Linked DNA regions of Arabidopsis thaliana. The protein of the gene in region 1 interacts with the protein of each later gene in a pairwise test. Each region holds a gene or a part of one and is shown on either strand. Other genes may lie near its edges. The genes, in order: ABCI12, AT1G15610, DER1 and AT4G30660.

The links.
Region 2: the proteins of ABCI12 (region 1) and AT1G15610 interact in a protein complementation assay, tested with the Arabidopsis thaliana proteins (one large-scale study listed by BioGRID).
Region 3: the proteins of ABCI12 (region 1) and DER1 interact in a protein complementation assay, tested with the Arabidopsis thaliana proteins (one large-scale study listed by BioGRID).
Region 4: the proteins of ABCI12 (region 1) and AT4G30660 interact in a protein complementation assay, tested with the Arabidopsis thaliana proteins (one large-scale study listed by BioGRID).

The regions. Positions count from the first base shown.
Region 1 is NC_003074.8:7,600,789-7,606,326, forward strand, and holds ABCI12 (cobalt ion transmembrane transporter), read right to left. Parts: upstream 3,112-5,538; 5' UTR 2,933-3,111; coding exon 2,570-2,932; intron 2,460-2,569; coding exon 2,343-2,459; intron 2,261-2,342; coding exon 2,024-2,260; intron 1,939-2,023; coding exon 1,774-1,938; intron 1,674-1,773; coding exon 1,598-1,673; intron 1,530-1,597; coding exon 1,465-1,529; intron 1,374-1,464; coding exon 1,221-1,373; 3' UTR 1,034-1,220; downstream 1-1,033. Other genes in the region: AT3G21590 (Senescence/dehydration-associated protein-like protein), read right to left, coding at 3,763-3,851, 3,968-4,134, 4,262-4,383, 4,654-4,727, 4,797-5,001.
Region 2 is NC_003070.9:5,368,208-5,372,921, reverse strand, and holds AT1G15610 (uncharacterized protein), read right to left. Parts: upstream 2,166-4,714; 5' UTR 2,130-2,165; coding exon 1,738-2,129; intron 1,662-1,737; coding exon 1,536-1,661; intron 1,457-1,535; coding exon 1,243-1,456; downstream 1-1,242. Other genes in the region: AT1G15600 (uncharacterized protein), read right to left, coding at 3,161-3,338, 3,442-3,570, 3,644-3,999; AT1G15590 (E3 ubiquitin-protein ligase), read right to left, coding at 4,690-4,714.
Region 3 is NC_003075.7:14,441,651-14,448,133, reverse strand, and holds DER1 (DERLIN-1), read right to left. Parts: upstream 3,582-6,483; 5' UTR 3,198-3,581; coding exon 3,181-3,197; intron 2,584-3,180; coding exon 2,448-2,583; intron 2,342-2,447; coding exon 2,268-2,341; intron 2,181-2,267; coding exon 2,087-2,180; intron 1,838-2,086; coding exon 1,709-1,837; intron 1,627-1,708; coding exon 1,466-1,626; coding exon of another isoform or gene 1,429-1,465; exon of another isoform or gene 1,372-1,428; coding exon 1,182-1,371; 3' UTR 897-1,181; downstream 1-896. Other genes in the region: PRF4 (profilin 4), read right to left, coding at 1-24, 285-416. UniProt on the Arabidopsis thaliana protein: May be involved in the degradation process of specific misfolded endoplasmic reticulum (ER) luminal proteins.
Region 4 is NC_003075.7:14,953,043-14,957,649, forward strand, and holds AT4G30660 (Low temperature and salt responsive protein family), read left to right. Parts: upstream 1-2,336; 5' UTR 2,337-2,427; coding exon 2,428-2,517; exon of another isoform or gene 2,518-2,767; coding exon 2,768-2,902; 3' UTR 2,903-2,958; exon of another isoform or gene 2,959-3,118; 3' UTR 3,119-3,129; downstream 3,130-4,607. Other genes in the region: AT4G30640 (RNI-like superfamily protein), read left to right, coding at 100-640; AT4G30650 (Low temperature and salt responsive protein family), read left to right, coding at 1,361-1,450, 1,525-1,656; AT4G30662 (uncharacterized protein), read right to left, coding at 3,141-3,488; AT4G30670 (Putative membrane lipoprotein), read right to left, coding at 4,555-4,607.

The DNA.
Region 1 (5,538 bases):
GTGGTGGTAGAAATGAGGGAGGAGGAAGAAGAAAAGGGTCAAATAGTCCTTTTCTTCGATTCCTGCTCGAAATTTTTGTAAATTGGTTAAAATCTACAAATAATCTAATTTATGAGTTTTTTTGCTGGTTAATGGAATACTGGAATAAATAGAAGAAATTAGAAGAGATGACAAAAATGGAGAAAATGGCTTCTCTGTCAGAGCTTCGTTTCCTCGTAACGATGCATCTGTAACCTAAACACATAATTCTATTTTTCTTTTTGTTTAATTTAGTTTGTTTCCCTGTCCGTTTTTCCATTTTTAAATTTGATTTTCCACAAATCTAATTTTTGCTGAATTAATGTAATGTTGCTCTATGGGATTAATCAAACAAGCATTGGACTACATATATTGACATGTTTTAAATGAGAACTGTAAATATGAACTAATTCCAATGACAAATCTTTTTCAAGCTGTGATGATGGAAACAAGTGATTGCTTCCAATGCAAGAAACTATATTGCCGAAATATAGTTTGAGTGTTTTTGGTAGAATTCAAGATTGATGTTGTTTATAGAAGCAAGCACGAGTGGCTTGGGAAGACATTGACCCGTTATTTTCTAGAAAAAGATGTGAGACACTGTTTTCGTCTGCCTTTGTCTCTTCTGGACACGAAAACCATATCAAATCACACAAGGGTGTACCAGACTTTATCGAGTGAGATTGAAGAGATCACGCCCTTGGTTGGCTTGGGATCATCTTTCTTAACTCTTTAAGTATAGATTGTATTTTTGACGTAATTTGAAAGAAGAAATGTGGCAATTTCTTACACTTTTTCTAAAGGGTATTTGTTTCATTAGGTATAATTTCTTCGTGCAAAAATAGAAAACTTTGTCTGTTAGTGTTAGGTTATTATAATGATGAAACACATTCACAAGACTTAAATGTATGGGTGACAACTAGTATGGATTCAGTCATCTCATGGAGCAAGTTCTCAACAGTGCAAACCATTAATCCGAGTTGGAATATGTTTGCTGATGGGATGAGTTTCTTGGTCGGCGAGCATAACAAAGTTGTATTGTGTTACCCTAACCGGACCCCCAACGAAATCTTACACATTGGGGAAGAAATTTATCACATACAACATTTGGATGATCATGATAGAGATTCTACCTCAAGATCATCTTTTCTTCTGAATTATGTTCCAAGTTTAGCTCGAATAAAGATTAGTATGAATCAATATTAGACAAGAAAGTATTCAGACAAGAGTGCGGTTGAGATTACACCGATTAAACACAAAACTGATGCAAAATCTGCAAACTTATTCGAAGAGCCAGAGAAGAAGTAGATCTTGTGGCTACTGCTCTCTCCTCTGAAGCCTCTAACAATCATGGCCTGCATGCACATAAATTACAAACTTCTTCAACAGAGAATTCTTATTTGATTCTCAAATCAATGAGATGATAATAAGTGAAATCTATTTGACCTGTGATATTTGTTCGGCATGACGAAATATATTCTTGAAGATGCGGCGTATGAATGACGCGAAAACTACAAAAAGCGATCACTTGTAAGATGAGATGTATATAGAAAGAGAGAAGAAACTTTTAGATTCTTACTATCAAGTGTCTCCAGAACAGTAAGCTGCTGCCAGTTTACTCTTCGCGATACAATTCCCAGTGAAACACTTCGGACCTACAATGTAACATATGCACAACGTACCATTATGTGGTTTAGGACTTGGAATAACTAGGCTGATTGATAATATTAAAGCGAATAAGTGAACAGTCGTTACCTCATCGAAAACCAAATTAATGAATCTCAGTGAAAGCAGTAGCGTGAGGATAATTTCACTGACTGGAACACCAATATATGTCAATGGGAACAAGAACCAACGTAGAGCTAGTGCAAGTTGCTCTGGTGTTGTTGTTGCAAGGCAAATACTAGCACTTTGGAAGATCTGTGACCAAAAACCAAATGTTCCATTAAGTGATCTAATCAAGAAAGGAAATAGGTAAACCGCGGAAGTCGAAAAACCGACTTACAATAAAGGTTAAGCATGCGGCTGTGCTTCCAACAGACAAACCTTTCCTTGTGAATTGCAAAGGACCAAGCTTCAGTAACATGTACGAATAACCGCTTAAAGACATGGGAAGATTAGGCAAGCTTGTGATTGAAGATGGTGGTGTTCTTGATTGAAGCATTGGAGGTGCACCATCTGAACCTAGCCCCAATGTTATGAAGAGAATACCCGAAAGAAGCGACACTCTCGCCAATTGATCCTTTACAGAAAAAGTTAGGAAACTCAGCAGAGCAGATAGATCACATATAGAAACAGAGTTGTGACAGAGAAACAGAACTCACTATCCAAACTTGTCTTGGGAGAACAAGGATTGACAAAAGAGCTGTGCATAGAACAAGTCCTAAACGCACAACTAGATTTGCTCTTGCTGGAAGAACTACTAGAGTTAATAGCCATACCTACACATATATACAAATACCAAAATTCAAGCTTTAACAAAAAAAAAAAGACTCAAACTTTTTAACAAAATTGGATTAGAAATTTGATAAGAATCAAGAATTCAATATACCAATTTGATTCTGGGATCCACCGAGTGGAGAAATGTCACAGGAGACGATATGAATTGTCCGATGGGACTTCCGGTGGCGCTTGAAATCAATCTGAAGACGTTTTCGGCTCCAAGTCCTGGAATTGGTAACCGGTTCACCCAATTACCGGTTTTACCGTCTCCGTCGACGGTGGCTCTGACAATGAAAACCCTTTTCGCGGCGAGAGAGGAGGAAGGAGTCTCATTAAGCCGGAGCGGGAAGAGAAGCTTAGGGTTTGTAAAGTTCCGGTTAGGAATTGGAGATGTGAGATGACGAATTGGGTGTTTGGGGATTAGGGTTACGGTGAGGGAGACTGTTGGATTGGCAAGATTGGAGTGATTCATGAGTTTTCAATTTCGGATTGGATCAGACATATGCCCTAGAGCGGGAAATTCTGTACTTGGTAGAGAGAGAGATACTGTAAACTGTCAAGTGTTAAACTGTTGTACTTGTTGGTTTTGTCGGACGTTGACTGTGGTTCTCAACTTCTCATAATAACAAAAGTCAAAGTATACCAAAATTTGGATTTCGGTTCTTGTTCGAATTTGATGTATATATAGACTCGTTTTGGATTTTCTCACACTCTTTTTGTATAAATCTTTTCTCGTAGAGTCATAGCCACACCAAAACCAAGATTAAGTAATTTGATACAATACAGCATATGAAAATGTAACTTAGCTTTTAAGATAGATAACATATTACTGCCTAGGAGCATTTTTGACAATTTTTGAGGTGATGGAAAAAGTTGGCTCGAGAGCTTTTTGAATATTCCAGGCGGTTCGGCCTAAGCTGCCCGTTGTTTCCAGTATTATTCCGGTGGTTTTTCCGGCTTTCTCTCCAAAACTTTGGTGCGGTCATCACAAAAATGTGAATATGTGTTACACTCAACTCAATAAATGTATAAAATTGTAAAATTCGATGGTCATGTAAACATGTTATATAACTCATCTAAACAATCCTAACAAATAAAAATGATAACCTATCTCTAAAAATCATTAGCTACCCCTCAAAACTATTTGGTAATTAATTATTAGATTGTATGCACGCTATACAATAATTCTACCAACTTCGATTTTATTTTCTACCGATATAATCATTCTTTTGATTCAAATACCGGTGTGTTACTATAGAAACATAATTCATTCTCAAAATTGAGGATCACAAAGTGAGCTTTTTACCTCTTACTCACAAGTCTAGTAGCAGCCATGGATGTGGCATAATGAGTTTGTATTTCTGCCGCTTCAGCAGCACCAATTATATTATCTATTGACCACATCAAAGTGTTTATCTGTTTTATTTAAATTTTGATCTCAAAAACTTCAAAATAAATGAATATGAGTATAGATTGACAATTAATGGAGCTATTCTATGTAACTTACGAAAAGAATCAAGTGATGCCAAGATAACCTCTCCTGGAGCAGTGGATAACAATGCCTTCCCTAACTTCGACTTAACCACCGGAGCTATCATCGAACTGCTCACCAAATCTCCACCTTCTAAGGCCGCCATTCCTATAGCCTCGCTCACCTTCCACAGCTTCTCCGCTCTATGTATATGTTACATCCAACAAAATAACCAAGATTTGGTTCATTATAAGAAGGAACAAGAACCAAGATTTTATTGTTTGGTATAATATATACTATTTTGTGGGATAGAGATTAAAATATGAATACCTTTGAAGATTTTTGTTGAGTTTATTCTTCTTATTAGTTTCATTGTTGCCACCTCCATCAATTTGTGATATGTCACCACTTCTTTCCTCATCCTCTTCAGCAATCGTTCCTTCCTCGTGAATCTGTTTTTGTTGTAAGAAAATAAAACGATATTAATAATAAAAAATACTACAATATGTGCGTCTTACATCTCCATGTTCATATAAAAGTTTTTAAAAATCCAACACAAAAATAAGATGATCTATACTAGTAAATAAAACACATAAGTCGTTCCACAAGTTGGGTTTGAATTGGAAGTTCATGATTCTTTACTACAACAAATATTTCGATTCAAATCACAATCATCTATTAACACTCATAAGCATCATGAGAGGGACTTATATGTATGAGACCTTCTTAGAGTAAGAATTGCTACAAGTGAAGATTCCCTTGATGATATGCCCTGTTCCTACCGCGATGGCCTTGGCTACACCATTTTTGTAGTCTTCAGCCTTCGGTGCAAACTTTTTCCAATCAATTTCATTGTTGTTCTTACCTGAAGTACTTGAAGATTTCTCCCCCATGATATCTCCAAGAAACTCAGGGTTTTCCATGATTTCTCCGTCTTCCCCTAAGAAACTCAAGGCTAGCTCCAACAGTTCGGATTTATCGACGATTTGGACTCCGTAATCGGGATTCTCCAACAAAACTTCTTCGTTCACCGCTTGGGCAGATTGGTTTTCTTGGGTTGATGTGGACATTGTGTCTTCTTTCTTAGTACAGTAGTACTTTTAAGTTTGGTTTATATGTGAGGCTCGTTCCTATATAATGTTGGATGATCGAAGGTAATGACGTAAACACTTACCATTTGATCATATTAATAACCAACAAAAATGTAAGACCATAAAATATGATCATATAGCTTGGTAGTGAAGAATAAGTAAAATTTTCTAGTTGTATAACTAGCAAGTTGTTTCAACAGAAGATGAGAGAATACCTTTTCTTAATATATGATTTCATCTATAGAAACAACTTCTAAATTTGACCATACGTGTTATGTTTTCCAAGACTTCATCAAGTTGCTTGTTTAACTGGTTTTTGTAGAGTTTACATTGGTGTTTTGTGATATCATTCTCCTAAGGTATGTTATACATAATCCCAAGTGTGTTATTCTTCTCTGATGAATTATATTCCCCCAAAATTGAGTTTTATATGTTTTGTTTCAATAGTTGACAAATAGAATTAGTTCTACGCAATCAAATCGTTCATATTATTTCCATCGACATTAACAGATTGAA
Region 2 (4,714 bases), on another chromosome or scaffold:
ACGGAAAGAAAATTGAACTAATAAAACCTCTATGGTATCAGGATTAAAATTTGTATCCTAACCGTAACCAATATCAGATCAAACCATTCATATATATATTATTTATTTTGTTTTAAAATAAAACAATATCATATCTATAATTTTGGTATAAGAATTAATAACAAATTCTTATACCCAAAAAAAAACATAAAAGCATAGATATGTCCGATTCGTTGGAGCTAAATTATTATCTCGAGACCAACTGACCAATTCCAATTCTACGTTAATTATAGTCATTTATAATAAAATGGTTATGATATTATTTGGTGCTAAATTAGTAGTTTTTTTTTTTTAAGTTATAGACTTAAAGTGAAACACAAAGCCTAGACGGAACCTTTTGTGCCATTTTAAGACCAATATACAGCATCATTAATCTTTTAAAAGTCAATTAAGTTAACTTCCACGTCGTTATGACAGCGACAGTTAATGGAAGGTAGCCAGAGAAGTCACTGAAGAAGAAGGTGGTTCTTCAAAATCGGATCATATTGATGAGATTAAATTGTTTGTTGTGCAGAGGTATTGGCGCACAAAGATCGAGTGTTAAATTGTTTAGTTGAATAAAAGTTCGCAACATTGCACTACATTTTGATGTGTGCTTTAATTTAAAGGCTACCTCTGCTCTGCATGCGACCATTCAAGTTTTCATGTATTATTCCACTCCATAATTGACCCCCAAGGCCCCAACTGATGCAAAAACACTAATATTTGGTTACGGCTGATTTCTTCAGTCATATATATGTGAAAAACCAATTAATGGTCTTCACACTCCCATATAGCAGGTTATCTATTAGTGCCCTTAACCGAACCCGATCGAGATTGATTGAAGTCATATCATCTCTATCAAGTAGTTATCATCTTCAGGTTCCTTGTGGGTTGTTTGATAGCATAAGAACATATATGTTATGGGTGCACTCTTAAAAAGAATTGTCGGGCGTGCCACATGCTGTCTCAACATGAAGCGCTTCATCAAGATGGCCAAAGAGGCCTTTTACAATAGACAAACCAGTTGTACATGTTGAAATGCAGATACTGAAATGTTTATCTTGCTGCAGAGATATTGGTACAGAGAAGCCTTTAGTTTCAGTTTTGCCGGCCATTTCAGGAATAGAGGATTCGGTAATGCTAATGACACTTGGCTTTATTTAATAAATAGAAAGAGAGTATTACAACAATTGTTGAAGAAAACAACATGATCCATCATTTTTATCCGCACATTCCAATGATCCACGAAAAGGTTAACGCAAAGAGTCCAATGATGACCAAAAAGAGTGAGAGTAACGAATTAATCATCGTTACTATGGCGGCCACAAGTGCAGTAACAAGGGACACCCCAGGCAACATGAATAACTGTACGGTAAATTGGAAATTAGGAAGCACATATCGAATGCAACTGAAAGCAAGTAGACCCAGCCATAACCTGGAAAAGGACATTTGTTAGTTCTAGAGAGGTAAATTATGTTGTTTAGCCATAATTGTAAATTTAGTTAGATGCGCACCAGAAGTGTCGACTAGTATCTTGACGTGATGATGACTCGGTTAGAATATGCCATAAAGACACCACAATCAAGGACACGAAGAAAGATTCAAGAAAATTTTCCAAACGGTACTCCATCACCTCGTTGCTGCAAATCAATAAAAACCATTGTTGAGGATATCAGTCTCTAATGCCTGAAAAAGAAAAAGAAACACAGTTTATACCTTGTCTCTGAGCTAGCGTTTTGGATATACTGCCATAAACGGCAACATACAAAAGGCAAAGTGGCAATAGAGGCACAAGTATAAAAGATGATCCATGTAAACAAAGCTACATCTAGTTCTGGATCTCGTTCATCTTTTGTTAGAATCAGAAAAAATATGGCTGCAACAATCTGGACCAAAGTCACAGCTAACTCGACCAAAATCCAGAAACTTCCACTTGTAAATGGACAACTCCATTGAAATGCCTCATGTGGAGTTTGCTCATGATCAGCTGATGACGAACCGCCATTGATTGTAATGTCGATGATGTGCTCATCATTTGAGGAAGAATCGCCATGGATTGTAACGTCTTCGACGTTGTGCTCACTCTTGGTTAACAAAGGGCCCTCCATTGATCACTTTTTTGCTTTCTTCTATTTTGTCCAATCGAATTAATAGTTCATCTAAACAAGCGTTGAAATACAAATTACATAAAGCCCTCTCCGATTCTTTGGTGCTAAATTATTATTCTAAGACCCAATCTACGTCAAGATCTATTCTATAAGTCAATTGTAAACTTCTAACGAACAAAAAAAAAGTTAGTCATTCTTCTCTAAATACGAATAATAGACATTTCCAGCTATATTATTATCTTAAGACCTAATCGACACCAATACCAATTCTAAGTCAATCACATAAAGTCCTTTACAATGAGTAGACTTTCGGAGCTACATTTGTTTTGTGTGTTTTTGTTTTACCTACACCAAGACCAATTATTAGTCAATTGTAGCCCGTTAGAGTAAAATTTCAAAATATTTGGTTCTAAATTATAGTCTTCCTAATTCTTTGGTGCTTGATGTATTATTTGGGAAGCTAGAAGAAGTAATATGTCTTTTTTGTAAAAGGAGAAATCTTTGGTGTTAAATTTTATTATTTGGGAAACTATAATATTTTATTATTTTTCTTAGTTATCTTATCTTTGGTGTTAAAGTTATCTATATATCCATTTCGATTTACCCAAATCTGTCAAAATAATAAGGCCTATAAAAGGTTATTCTGAAACACGTGATTATTTGGGTAAATGTCACAATGAGGTAGGACTCGACTCGAAATAAGTCAGATTTTAAAAAGCCCATTAAAGTACGGGCCCTTAAAATACATATCTGAATAGCGAAAACGCACGAATAAGAATGGTCAGTCAAAACTGTCATTTAATGGAGAATAATATTAACGAGGGAGAAAAATAAAATAAAAAGAGGAAATAAGACGAGATGATCATATTTGATCATTTCAAAAAACCTTAGCTACTGTTTTTCTCTACCTTAATAAGATTAAAATCATCAACATGAACACAAAACATTTTTATTCTGGTACTCTGCTTTACTTTGATTTTAAACGCCCATTCTCCTAGGCTTACAAACAAAATATTTTTATTAGTTCGATTTCAGCAGATGCATGATACAATGCATGCTACAATGCCTTTTAAGACTTCCACAGCAAGGAGAACACATATGACCACAGGCGTAAGTAAAAGCAAAGGAGTAGTATAACAGACCATTGCCAATGTTAGATTAAAAAGAACATATCTAATGCAACTGAAAGTAAGGAGAGCCAAACATAACCTGCAAAAGAGACAATGAAGAAGGCCAAAGGCATGAGTATAAGAAAGGTCAATATATACGTTTTAAGGTATACATATGATTGGAAATTTCGTTTGATACGCACCAGAAGTATTGAGTTGTAGTATCATCTAGAGCTGATGAGTCGAATGCTTTGGAAGAAAGAATCCATAAAAACACCACATACCAACCCACGAAGAAACCCGTCATAAAAAAGTCCATATCCTTGTTGATTCTGCAAACCAATAAAACCATTATATCTCAATCTAATGCATAAAAAGATAAAAGAAAACACAATTTATATATACCTTGTCTCTCTTAAGTATTCATCTGTAGATTCGGAGCCAACGCTTCGGTTATAAAGCCAAAAACGCCAACATAGGATAGGGAGAGTGGCAATACAGCCACATGTATAACCGATGATCCATATAGACAACATTGTTTGTGGATGTTCTTCATCTCTTGGCTCAATCAGAACGATTATGACCGCAGCAATCAAGACCAAAGTCACAACAAACTCGATTGAATTACAAATGCTTTCATTTGTGTATGGATCACCCAATTCAACACCCTCGTGTGGTTGCTGACCATCAATTGATGAAGAACTACCATCGCTTGTAATGTCAATGATGTGTTCACACTCGCTCAACAAAGGGCCCTCCATTGATCACTTTTGGTTTTTCCTATTTCTTGCCGATCAAATGAAAAGTTCATTCAAATTTGCGTTGACGAGCACAAAGCATATACCTTTCCTTCTTTGTTGATAAAATTATTAGTATTTTTTTAGACCAGATCAATACTAAGTACGTATTAGTCGTGTTACAAATAAAACATTATTTTGAAAAATGAAGATCAAAGCTGAGATTTCAATGTTTATATATATTGCAGATGTTTTGGACAAGTTAAATTGTTAATAGGTCAAATGATCTGTATGATATTTATTTTCTGTTTTAAGACAGACAACACAAGAAGACAGGATCGTATCTTTCAGTTTCCCACCACTTTTGTTTATTGAATGTGTACAATTACTCTTGAGCGAAAAAAAAATAAAAAAAAAATCAACCTCATCTCATCACCACCTAACTTGTGATTGACAGAGAGGGCATGTGGATTTGATTTTCAGCCATTTGTCTATACATTGCGAATGAAATACGTGTGAGCATTCAAGTTTCCTTAGTCCTACTCCTTTTTCCTCTCCATATTTCCCCAAGCATATGCAACAACTCTGCACACACCATCAAACCATGAAAATTAAACAACAACAACAACAAAAAAATGCTATTTAAAACAGAGTAATTAATGTGATATGAAATTATTACTCACATCATCATGGCTCGGTTTCTTGAAAACAAATCTACCTCCTATACCTTCCCTTACAG
Region 3 (6,483 bases), on another chromosome or scaffold:
ATCACTGAACTCCTGTCCCTTGAACTATATGAAAGACCAAATCACGATTAGTCGATTACCATGAGACAACATGCATCATTTGTTTTCAAATCTATGCAAAACATATAAAAAGAAACACACACACACAAAATACACTATATATATATCCCATGACAAACATTGATAGAATCTAATCAAAACATGATGCATGATCTAAATCACATTGTAAAAACACATATCATATCGGATAGCAACACTATCAGGATCTAAATCACATTGAGATCAGACGCAATGAAATCAAATACCTGAGGGAAGTTGGCGCTCTGAGCCCAAACGCTACCGTCATGACCAACGATAGCGGCAGCAGTAAGGTGGTGTCCTTGACCATCGCCAACATCACACATCAAATGCTCATCAACGTAAGTTTGCCACGACATCTTCTTCTTCTTTTCTTATTTTTTTTCTTCTTCTTTGTTTATGATCTATACGTTAAGTGCCCCGGTTATGTGCAGCGTGGGGACTTCGTCCTTCAGATAAATAGGAGAGGAAGGAACAAGGATCATTTTAAAACCGTTGGATCACATAGACGAATTCTCAGCCCTACATCTTACTTTTTCTTCAAAAAAACAAGGAGTGATTTTCAATTAGTGCCGCTCAAGTTTCGCCTTTGTTATAGCTCAATCATTGTTTCGCTATTTGCCACGTCTACTTTCTTCCCTTTTCCTATTTCCCCTATTTATAAACGATCACCAACGGCATTTTAGAGGAAGGACCGAAGGAATGATTATTTACTCGTTAGTCGTAATCTTGTTAGCCAATAATAATATTATGTCCTAAAAAATTCAAACTTGTTACGACCAAACTCTTTGGTCACGAATTTAATAACTTATCTAGATAGATATTCAAACTCGTTACGTCCAAATTCTTATGTCACAAATTTCATTTGATTATATTCATAGTGGCTATAGTTTATCGAATTCAATTTAGTAAGGAGATGATTGCTAGACAAAAACAAAAACATAGAAACATGAACCACATTTTGAAAAGAACATTGTATTAAAACCTCAAAGATTCTTCCTACAGAGTCATATATTCAAAAACTGTACTGTTCGAAAACACAAAGCTACCTGGGATTAGTTAGTGGCATTGTTTGAAAAAGATTTGATATGATGAAAACAAAGAAACTCGAGAAGATTTCTATTTCAGTCGGTGAGACGATATGATCGACCTCTGAATGCTGTGTTTGAACTCTCGGGTGGGGCACGAGCGCTTGAATAAGCTCCTCCTCCTCCTACTCCTCCTCCAGCTCCGGGTCCTGCTGCTCCTACACCACCTGCTTGTCGAACACTTGCAACTGGAGCTCCAATTCGCCATCTTGCTACGATTTTATTACTGTTGAGAATGTCAAGGTACAACAGCAAAACAAAAACTGAGAAGCGAGAGAAACAATCATCTGGAAATAATCGAGAATTTGAATAAAGGATACACCCATTTTGGGGTTTTCAGGTAGTTTTTTCCGGTAGCAAGAGGATGAAGGACTGTTAGGAAGTAGTATAGATGTCCAGCTATGATGCCAAGAAGATCTGGCATGATCGGAGAACCGAAGATAACATCAAGTGCTAGCATTGCCCATGGGAGGTAGAAAGCCTGTGGAGTAATTCCAACTTTCACCATTAACATTATATATACCAAGGAGTGGATTTGATTACAAAAGAAACACTTTCAATACCTTAAGAGTGACAAGACCGTATAGGCTGATGTTGGCATTTGGAAATTCTCGGCTCCAGAGATAAAGAAGCATGAACACAAGTGAAACACCAAGAAACGGTGTCCAGAAAAATGGTATGACTGATAATACCTGAAATTTGAACAAGGTAACTGTTTTAACACACGGATTTACTAGTATGAATACCTTCCAAAATTTTGTCTCGCTTTAATAAAATGCAACCCTGATTCAATTCTTTGAGAGCTTCTGATCTTCTCAGCTTTGGGATATTATGTACCAGCGATTATCTACTTTGTGGCATACCACATACTAGTACTGGGGTTCTCAAAGAACCAATAACAATGATCAGTAAGAATAGAATACAGGGGAGGCTTTACATACCAATAGAGTGAAGGATCCAAAGATCATCATCCACAAAAAGTCTGCTGTCCGCCTTTCAAATGGCCCTTTCTCGAGTTGAACTCCATATCTTGCTCTGCACAATCATTTAAAAGAGTATGTTAAGATAATAAAAATCGAAATTAGCTTTGTTCATCTATATATGTGAAAATAGTATGCTCACATCATCAAAAGACGTATTCCAAAATTGATAGAGAAACCACCGAGGAAAAACAAGTTTGTTATCAGCCTCCAGATCTACAAACACCAAATAGATCAAAAATTGCAGAATGAATTAGGAACTTAGGATGACAGAGATTTGTGAGAAAGAAAGGAAAATCATAAAAAAGAATAAATCATATACCTGGAACTGCTTAAGTACAAGTTCAGGAATTAAAGCAATGTGAACGGGAGCAACTAAGCCAAGCTGCGTGGCTACTGTAGTGAAAAAGCACAACGTACCATAAGCCTTGGTTATAGGTGGAAGTGAGTTATAGAATCTGCAATCAATAACAAGCGATCTAAGAAACAATTTGACAGATAAACAATCAAAATCATACATATTCCATCCATCTATAAATTTCTAATCAGGAAATGTCATCAAGATCAGCTAAAGCATAAAACTTTACCACAAGAGACAAGCCTACGCAGAGATATTTTAGACTATCGTAGCTAGGAGAATCAAAGTAGCCTTGTAACTATGATACAGCAAACGAGAACAGTTTTGCTTCAAGACACTATGAGATTCCATATTTCAAGAACTAACTACCAGTTGACTTGTACTAACTTCCATGGCATAAAAGATGTTTCTTTACATCTCAAATCACCAAAATATCAAATGATGACAATGCAAATTGATAACTATATACTAAAAATAGCGTTAGCTCAAGTTCACAGAACTCGCTTGGTGTTGCAAAATTACGCTCGAATTGAGAAGAATCAACAGTTGAATGCTTCAAAAACCCCTATACAAGCTAAACGAATCATGAAAATTATTAACCTAAGGACTCAAAATCCTGGGTACGAAGACCAAGCTAAGAATCTCTCGATCAAAATCGAATCGAAGCAAAGTTTCAATAGAGGGGAACGGAACTCACTCGCCAGGAGAAGACATGTTCGTCGATTTTCGAAGATCCGAGGTTCTGAGTCCGATTCAAGATTCGAGATCCGATATAAGCTTTGAGAGCACCGCAAAACAGAAGCTCGAAAGTTCCAGAATTTTTTTTCCTTCTAATCATCTGAAAACTCAAATCACTTGTTTTTGTTAGGCAGCTGCGTAAGTTATCCAATCATACCTTGCCACGTCGTGTTAATTCACCGTCTTGAATACGTGGCACGTTTTAATTTGTAATCGTGTTTAAACTTGTGGGATCAATTTCTCTTCTTTCTGATGCGTCTCTACTCTCTAGTAGTCTGTCTCTATGATGATCCCCAGTTGGCCAGTTTATTGAATTGGGCCAAAGAGGCTTTTATTTGACCCATTAATAGATCAGGCTCGAATTAGATATGTTTATAAATGTTTTTTTCTTTGCCAAAAAAAATAATGTAAGAATATGAACCCTAACAAATTAACAAGAAAAGACAATGCAAAGGGAATCTAATCTCAAGGAATATCAAAATTAGAGAAACATTAGCATTAAAGCAATGATCTTTCGCAAGTATGGTCGGAACCAAAGATCCGAGATTTATTATTAGTTTCAATAATAATGTGTTTTTAAGGTAATTAAACAGAAAATCAAGATTATTTAACCTGGATTAGGTACGGGAGAGGGTCCATGTGCATGTGACGGGTCCCAACCAGATAATCTTGACCCGATTCGATCTCACTCCTTGTCTGCTGACTCATCCTTACGTCATTCCACACAATGCTTTGTTATTTGTTATTTTGTTGGTTTTGCGTGGAACTGCAAGGTAAATTGATCAATAATAATAATGTATTTTCTAATTATAATCTGCTAAAAATAATATTGTAATTTCTCATTAACTGTAAACAATTTTAGTATTAAAAGAATTTTACAATGAATTTCAAAACTGATTTGATGTTGTCCTATGTAGTTTTAAACAAATAGTAGTAGACGTTCTTTTCATAACTTAGAAAGATTATTGTGATATTGAGCAATATCGATCTTCAATGTTTATATTTGAATAAGAATCTCAAGATTTAAAAATAATTTCTTAAACACAATCAATAGGGTTGGTACATAAACAATTACAAGTTTTTTAACAGTAAAAACCGTTTATACCGTTATGTTCTTGTACTGCTTTATTTTATTTTTACCTCACAATAGAACGAGATATCTCTTCTCGTTACAAATCACACCTAGCTAATACAACATAATACCTATTGTTGAATACAAATATTAAGATACGATACGGAGACAATATCTGAACTATAATTAAGTTGATAAGCATTTTTGGCACCACATTACGAGATATGCCAATATGCCACTTGGTTTCTTTTGGAGTATATGCGAAATATAAGTTTGATCAAAGAGTAGTGTTAGTGCTTAGGTGGTTAACATATGTTTGATAAAAAATGTGACATGGTATAGATCATGTGAGTTGTTAGATACGTTATAAGATTTCATTTCATGACCTTATATAACTTATTAAATATTAGTTCGTTGTAATGTTCCTAAGTTAGAGCTTTTTATTGGTCGTTACGTTGGAGGCTACGTAAGTGGGTTTCATGCATAGTCACGCGAAAACAGCTTTTGGACGGCTAAATACCCCTTCTAATTATATGATTGATTAAAAAACATGTATAATCTACACAGTTAACAGTTTACTAACTATACTTTTTTACATTATCGTTGAGAAAATGAATAAGATTAAAGGGTCCCTAGATTAAATGTGAGTGGAAAAGAAAAGAAAAAAGGTTTTGGTTCTTTTGGATTGTTTGACCTATCGATAGAGACATCGCAATGGAACTTGCCAATGGCGAGAGAGGAACATGCAAATTTCATTACATTGTGATAAGTTAAATCCCGGAAAAGGAGGGAGGAGAGAAAACGACATATTTGCAACCAAAAGAAAAAAGTGATAGAAAGATGCGTTTAAAAAAGCAAACAAACTAAAATCATTTATGAACAAGGAAAACAAGAGACCGAGCTTGTCAAATGGCAAAAATGGTGGACCTATCCATGTTTCAGTAATTCGCATGTTTAATGTCGGGAAACTAGTTTTTCGTTTTTTTCTCCCATTGTTTTGTGATAGAAATGACAAATTTAATACTCACAAATTTAAAACCACCCACATATTTAGCTAAACTCACAACTGATAAATGTGATTCTTAGTATTTGAATCGAAAAAGAGTGGTAAGGTAAGTTCAATACTTCCCCACCAAAAAAAATATAACATTAGAAAAATCTAGTTGATCAATAGTGTTAACATGCAAATTCCGTATGTATATGATAAATAGCAAACTATATTTTTCGTGATTTAAATAACTCTGGATGCAAATGGCCGAACATTGTTTTTCAAAACCAAATTGGAATCAGTGGGTTGAACGAATCCGACCAATATCCATATCAAAACTGATTCTGAATAAATCGGACCTAGTGCCTAGTATAGTAGCTTGGCCCTAGCGCATAGCTAGTAAATTGATTGTTCGAGGTTTTGTTTTCATTTGCGAGAAGAGTATTATTACTTACATGCATTGGTTATTTTGTTTCCTTCATTTTTTATCTCTTTTTTTGTCAAAGCCATAGATGCATTGAATATTCATCAGGAAAAAAAGAAAAAATTAGCAACTTGGGCAAATGTCTTCTTAAAACATTAATGTATTACCAAATGCGAAATAGAAGAGAAACTTGTTACGTCCTTTCATAGACATTAAAAAATAGAGAGACATATCTATTTCAAGATCTTTGCACGTGATCGAGATGTTTTTATTGTTTTTGGCTAACATATATCCAAGTTAGAGCAGAAGATATCAAAAGAATATTATGGATGGCAATGAATCATTTTCAGTGAAGCAAATAGTACGTTCCTTAAATCAATTAGGGTACTAAAGTTTTGCAATAATCCATTCAATAATAGTATCTCTCTCTCTTTTCTTTACCAAAAGGCTTTTATTGTCCTATAACTTATGAACATCAAGAGAGGTAAGTGCATTTTATCACCTACAATATTAGTATGGAACGTAACATATAGACCTTCTAAATTGGTACATAAGTCCTAATTACTCTAACCAAACAGCGGAATAAAATGTAAAATTCTATATGAAATGCGAATTACCATAAATTTACTCGAGCTTATATGTCTATTTTTCTTTATAATTTTTGTCGTCAATTAATGTATAAAGGATTTCGTAGCATATTACATGCATGTGGCCGTAATACGGAAAGAACCAAATCACTAATTTTTAATAACCAAGTCTCCTCTTTAATGGGAGGACC
Region 4 (4,607 bases), on another chromosome or scaffold:
CACTTTTCGTGATAATTCTCAGTTTTAGCTTGAGTCCATAGAGGTTAATCGCAGAGTTTTGATAGAATGAATAAAATGTCATGTGGTTTCCATTTGCAGGTGCCCTAATCTAGAGGTACTTTGGATAAAGAACTGCCCAAATGTTACAGATGCGTCAATGGAGAAGATAGCTATGAACTGTCCAAATCTTAGAGAACTTGATATAAGCTACTCTTATGGCATAACTCACGAGTCTCTGATAACATTGGGGAGGAGTTGCCAAAATTTAAAGATTCTGAAACGGAATTTGTTGCCCCGGCTAGGTCCTAGCCTGCCAACAATCGTCGCGCCACTAGACTATCTGGCTACATTTCCTAGATATGGGAATATAGAGGCTAGAATAATTGGGAAATACATGACACAGCTCAAGCATTTGGAGATTCGATACTCCACATTGACTGCTAGAGGACTTGACTCGGTTTGTAAGGGATGTTCGAATCTAGAGTACATGGACTTACGCGGATGTATATCATTGACCAGAAGTGATATAAACACTAATACGTCGGGCTTGAAGAATTTGACGGAGATCATTAAGCCGGATTTCAATCCTCCGATTGCTGTTTTACGCGTTCCAAGACCTGGTAATCCAAGAGAGGAATGATGGTGTTTGGTTTTTGTTGGACGCACGTTTTGATCAACTTGTTGACCGGTTTTTATGCTCAGAGCTTCCTCTATGGCATTTTTTACTCTGTTCTTATCTATGTTTGAATTCCTAAAACAATGTGAAACCCTTTTTCTTTGTGAGTTTGTCTTGTCACTAAATTCCCAACTTTTGGTGTGTTCTATTAATATTCTTCATTGCTTTAGGTCTGAATCATAGTGTTAAGTGAAATAAACATTGAGGGAAATGGGTTAAGTAAATGTACTGAGATAGCTTGCCATCTAAGCAAGCAACAGAAAAATTGGGCTAATCAAAGTCCGGTCCCGGAAACAATAGAAGACAGGCCTTCTAGGCCAACTTAGTCACGTGATCCATTAACCGTACGATAAGGGGGCGAGTCAGAGTAATAATATCCCACAATGATCAGGTGTGTTGTGTTGCACCATACCTTGCGTGTTCTTGAGATGAAAATATCTAAAGAGTGGGGGCAAGGTAAGGTAATTTTACGAGATGTCGGCATGTAAGCTGAAGCCGTACGATTTATATACCAAACAAATAAACGGTGCAGATCTCGTAGTTGACTTGGTAGCGCCAAAAATAAAAAGCCGTGGATTGCTCTTTTAATTGGATCTCTGTGCTACCGACTACTTTCAGTGTTCTCTTCTTCTCCACTAATTCAGATCACATTCAAGAATCTTCTTCACTCACATCTCTGAAAAAATGGCGAGCAACATGGAAGTTTTCTGCGAGATCTTAATCGCGATCCTTCTTCCACCTCTTGGAGTTTGTCTCAAACGTGGCTGTTGCACTGTAAGTTATTGGAATTTTGGAATCATGAATCTTGAGATTTAGTTTAGAAAATCTGACTCTTAGTTTTTTTGCAGGTAGAGTTCTTGATTTGCTTGGTGCTGACAATCTTAGGATACATCCCAGGGATAATTTATGCACTATACGTGATCGTGTTTCAAAACCGTGAAGGCTCTACCGAACTTGGAGCTCCACTTAACTCAGCTTGATCTGTTTTGGTCCATTACACGGATCAATATGTTGTTGAAACTGTTTTACTTATCATGTACCAAATAATAAGTTGCTTTGCAATTTTTATGTATTGAAGATTTGAGAACATTGTCGCGTTATTGATACATTGCTTATCTTTTTGATGTATAACTTGTTGGCTTTTGCAAAGTCAGGCTACGGACCTTCCTAAGAGTTAATGTATCAAATTCTTTGCCAAGATTGTATTTACCGGAGTTTAAACTTCGCAAAATGCGGAAGCATTTTTGAGTTTGAAAGGATTTTGTATGATGCCAACATATATTATGGTATAGATTATGCTAAAAAAGATAGATTTCTGTTACTTTGGCAAATAATGACAATGATTGTGAGTTGAGGAATCAAAGTCTCAGTAATACGACACCGTTTGAGTCAAAACGTTTCTGTCCAATTCCAGTCTGGTCCCGGGATTAATAAAATAGACAGGCCTTCCCAGGCCCATTTAGTCACATGGATGAGTCAGAGACTAAAATATCTAAAAGTGATCTGATGTGATAAGGGTGCACCATATCGTTCGTTGTGATTCACGAGATGTAATCTAAAGCCGTACGATTTAAATATCAATAAATGAACGGTGCAGATCTCGCACATTGACTTTGTAGTGGAAACAAAATAAAACGTGGACTGATCTCTCTTCATTGGTACTCTCAACTCTGTGACAGCAAGTTTCAGTGTTTTGTCTTTTAAAAAAACTCTTAAAGCTTCTTCTTCTCTCATCTCATCTCTCTGAAAAAATGCCGAGCAACTGTGAGATTCTGTGCGAGATCATTATCGCGATCCTTCTTCCTCCTCTCGGAGTTTGCTTCAGGAAAGGATGCTGCACTGTAAGTTCTCTCTCTCTCTCTTTCGAATTCCTCAATTTTGAAGAATCCTGGAACTTCTTATAGAGACTGTAATTTTGGATTGATTATAATGTAATTTGGTATGAGTAATGAAGGGAGTGCTTAATCTATGATATGAATCGCAGAAATTCTCTGGATTGGATCAATTTATGTTTGATTCATTGATTCCTGAAAGCTTGGATAATCATTTGAAGAAAGTTGAATTTTTTTTATGTGTGGTTTGTTTTGGCAGGTGGAGTTTTTGATATGCCTGGTGTTGACGATCTTAGGCTATGTCCCGGGGATAATATATGCGATTTACGTGATTGTGTTTCAGCACCGTGAAGAGTACTTTGATGAATACAGACGCCCCATCTACTCTGCTTGATTTCTGTTTCTTTGGAACTGTGTTGCTTTGACTTGTACCAATAAAGTTGCTTTGCAGTTGTTTTCAGAGATTTGAAAACGTTTGTGTGTCATTTATATGCAATATTGAAAGTTTCTTCTGTTATCAGCTTATGAACCCTCCTGCTATGTGTGCTTATGCATCAGGTTGTTGACATAGTGTTTTCGCAAGGCACAAATTAAATTATTAAATTGAAAGGTTAAAAAAAAAAAGAGTTTAATTAGAAGGCGAAGAACATCAACAGAATTGAGCTCGCGACCGTGGAACCGTAGCGCAATGCCATCGAGAGACAAGGTCGACTAGTAGCGGATGATCCACCCGCACCATGACCACTACTGGGGACACGACGGTGGCTACGACCACCACCACGACTACCACCACCAACACCACCAAAACGAGCTTTCCTCATGAAAACTCGAAGAGAGTCATGATGATCCAACGGATTGGAGTCACCGTGTTGTGCAAGTCTTCGTTCACTCTCCTTATTTTCAGATGAAATTGGCAAAGGCTGAGAGAGTAACAATAGGAGTACAATCAATGAACAAGAAAATGCCAGTGAAGTCCTCATTTCTGTTTTATCAAATAATATGTGTGTATATACATGTATCTGATCGAAAAAAATCAGAAATATGTGTTAATTTTACAATGATGGGACGCATTATGTGTGCAAAAGAATTAGTATTTATAATATCGCTAGGCTTAGGTAACGAAACGACCATGGCTTAAACATGGGCTACTTCTTCTTTGAAATGATGTTTAATACTATTATTGTATTTAACTATTGGGATACTTATTACTTATTAGCAAAGAAACTTTCCTTTTGCCAGCAACAAAGAAAGTTTCCGAGAGGCAAAATCTAATTACGTAAGGGAGGATCATGATTAATTAAGCCTAATGGGTAACAGACCCAAATGTTATTATTTATCGTTTTCTTATGTGAAATGGAATTTAGTGAATTTCCAACGTAAGGCAAATAGTGGTCGAAGGGAAATGGTGCCTAGTAGTTAGTTCTAATTGTAACTGAATTTGATTGAATTCATGTAGTAGATGTTTTAAAGAGGTTGTTGTTAATGGTAAGAATAAACAAAGGAACAATGTTCACTATACCTGCATTCTCTCTCCACTCAGTCTTCAAAATAATTGATCGTGAGATTAAGAACACTATCACCGCCAAAAAAATCAAAGGGGTCACTTCTGAAATCTTATGGCTGCGATAAACTGGCCCGAGATTTTCCCACATAAGTTTGTTTTCTTGTTTTTTACTCTTTTTTTTTTTTGGCCAAGTACACAATTGTATAGGTTTAACCAAAGTGTAAGTTCTGATTATTCATATTAATGATATTTACAATTTAGCAAACAAACAAAAAAATTCCAAAAATAGTCGCATGTAGTTGTGTGTCAATGATAAATTGTCTTAGACAATCAGTTATTATTCATTAAACAAAACAACTGGAACCACAATATTAGACAAACCAGATCAGACAACTTTTCAAACATTGAAGACTTACAAACTCAATCTTTGCCGGAAAAGAAAACAAATCGTTAAACTCGATCGGAAATACAAACTCAAACAAACACGCAAATTCAAGCCATTTGACAAATAAAATAAAAAAGTCGCAACCTGTTATCTTGGATTAAAATGCGGCGAGCAATAAAACAAAGGAACTCACAACAGTAGATACATAGG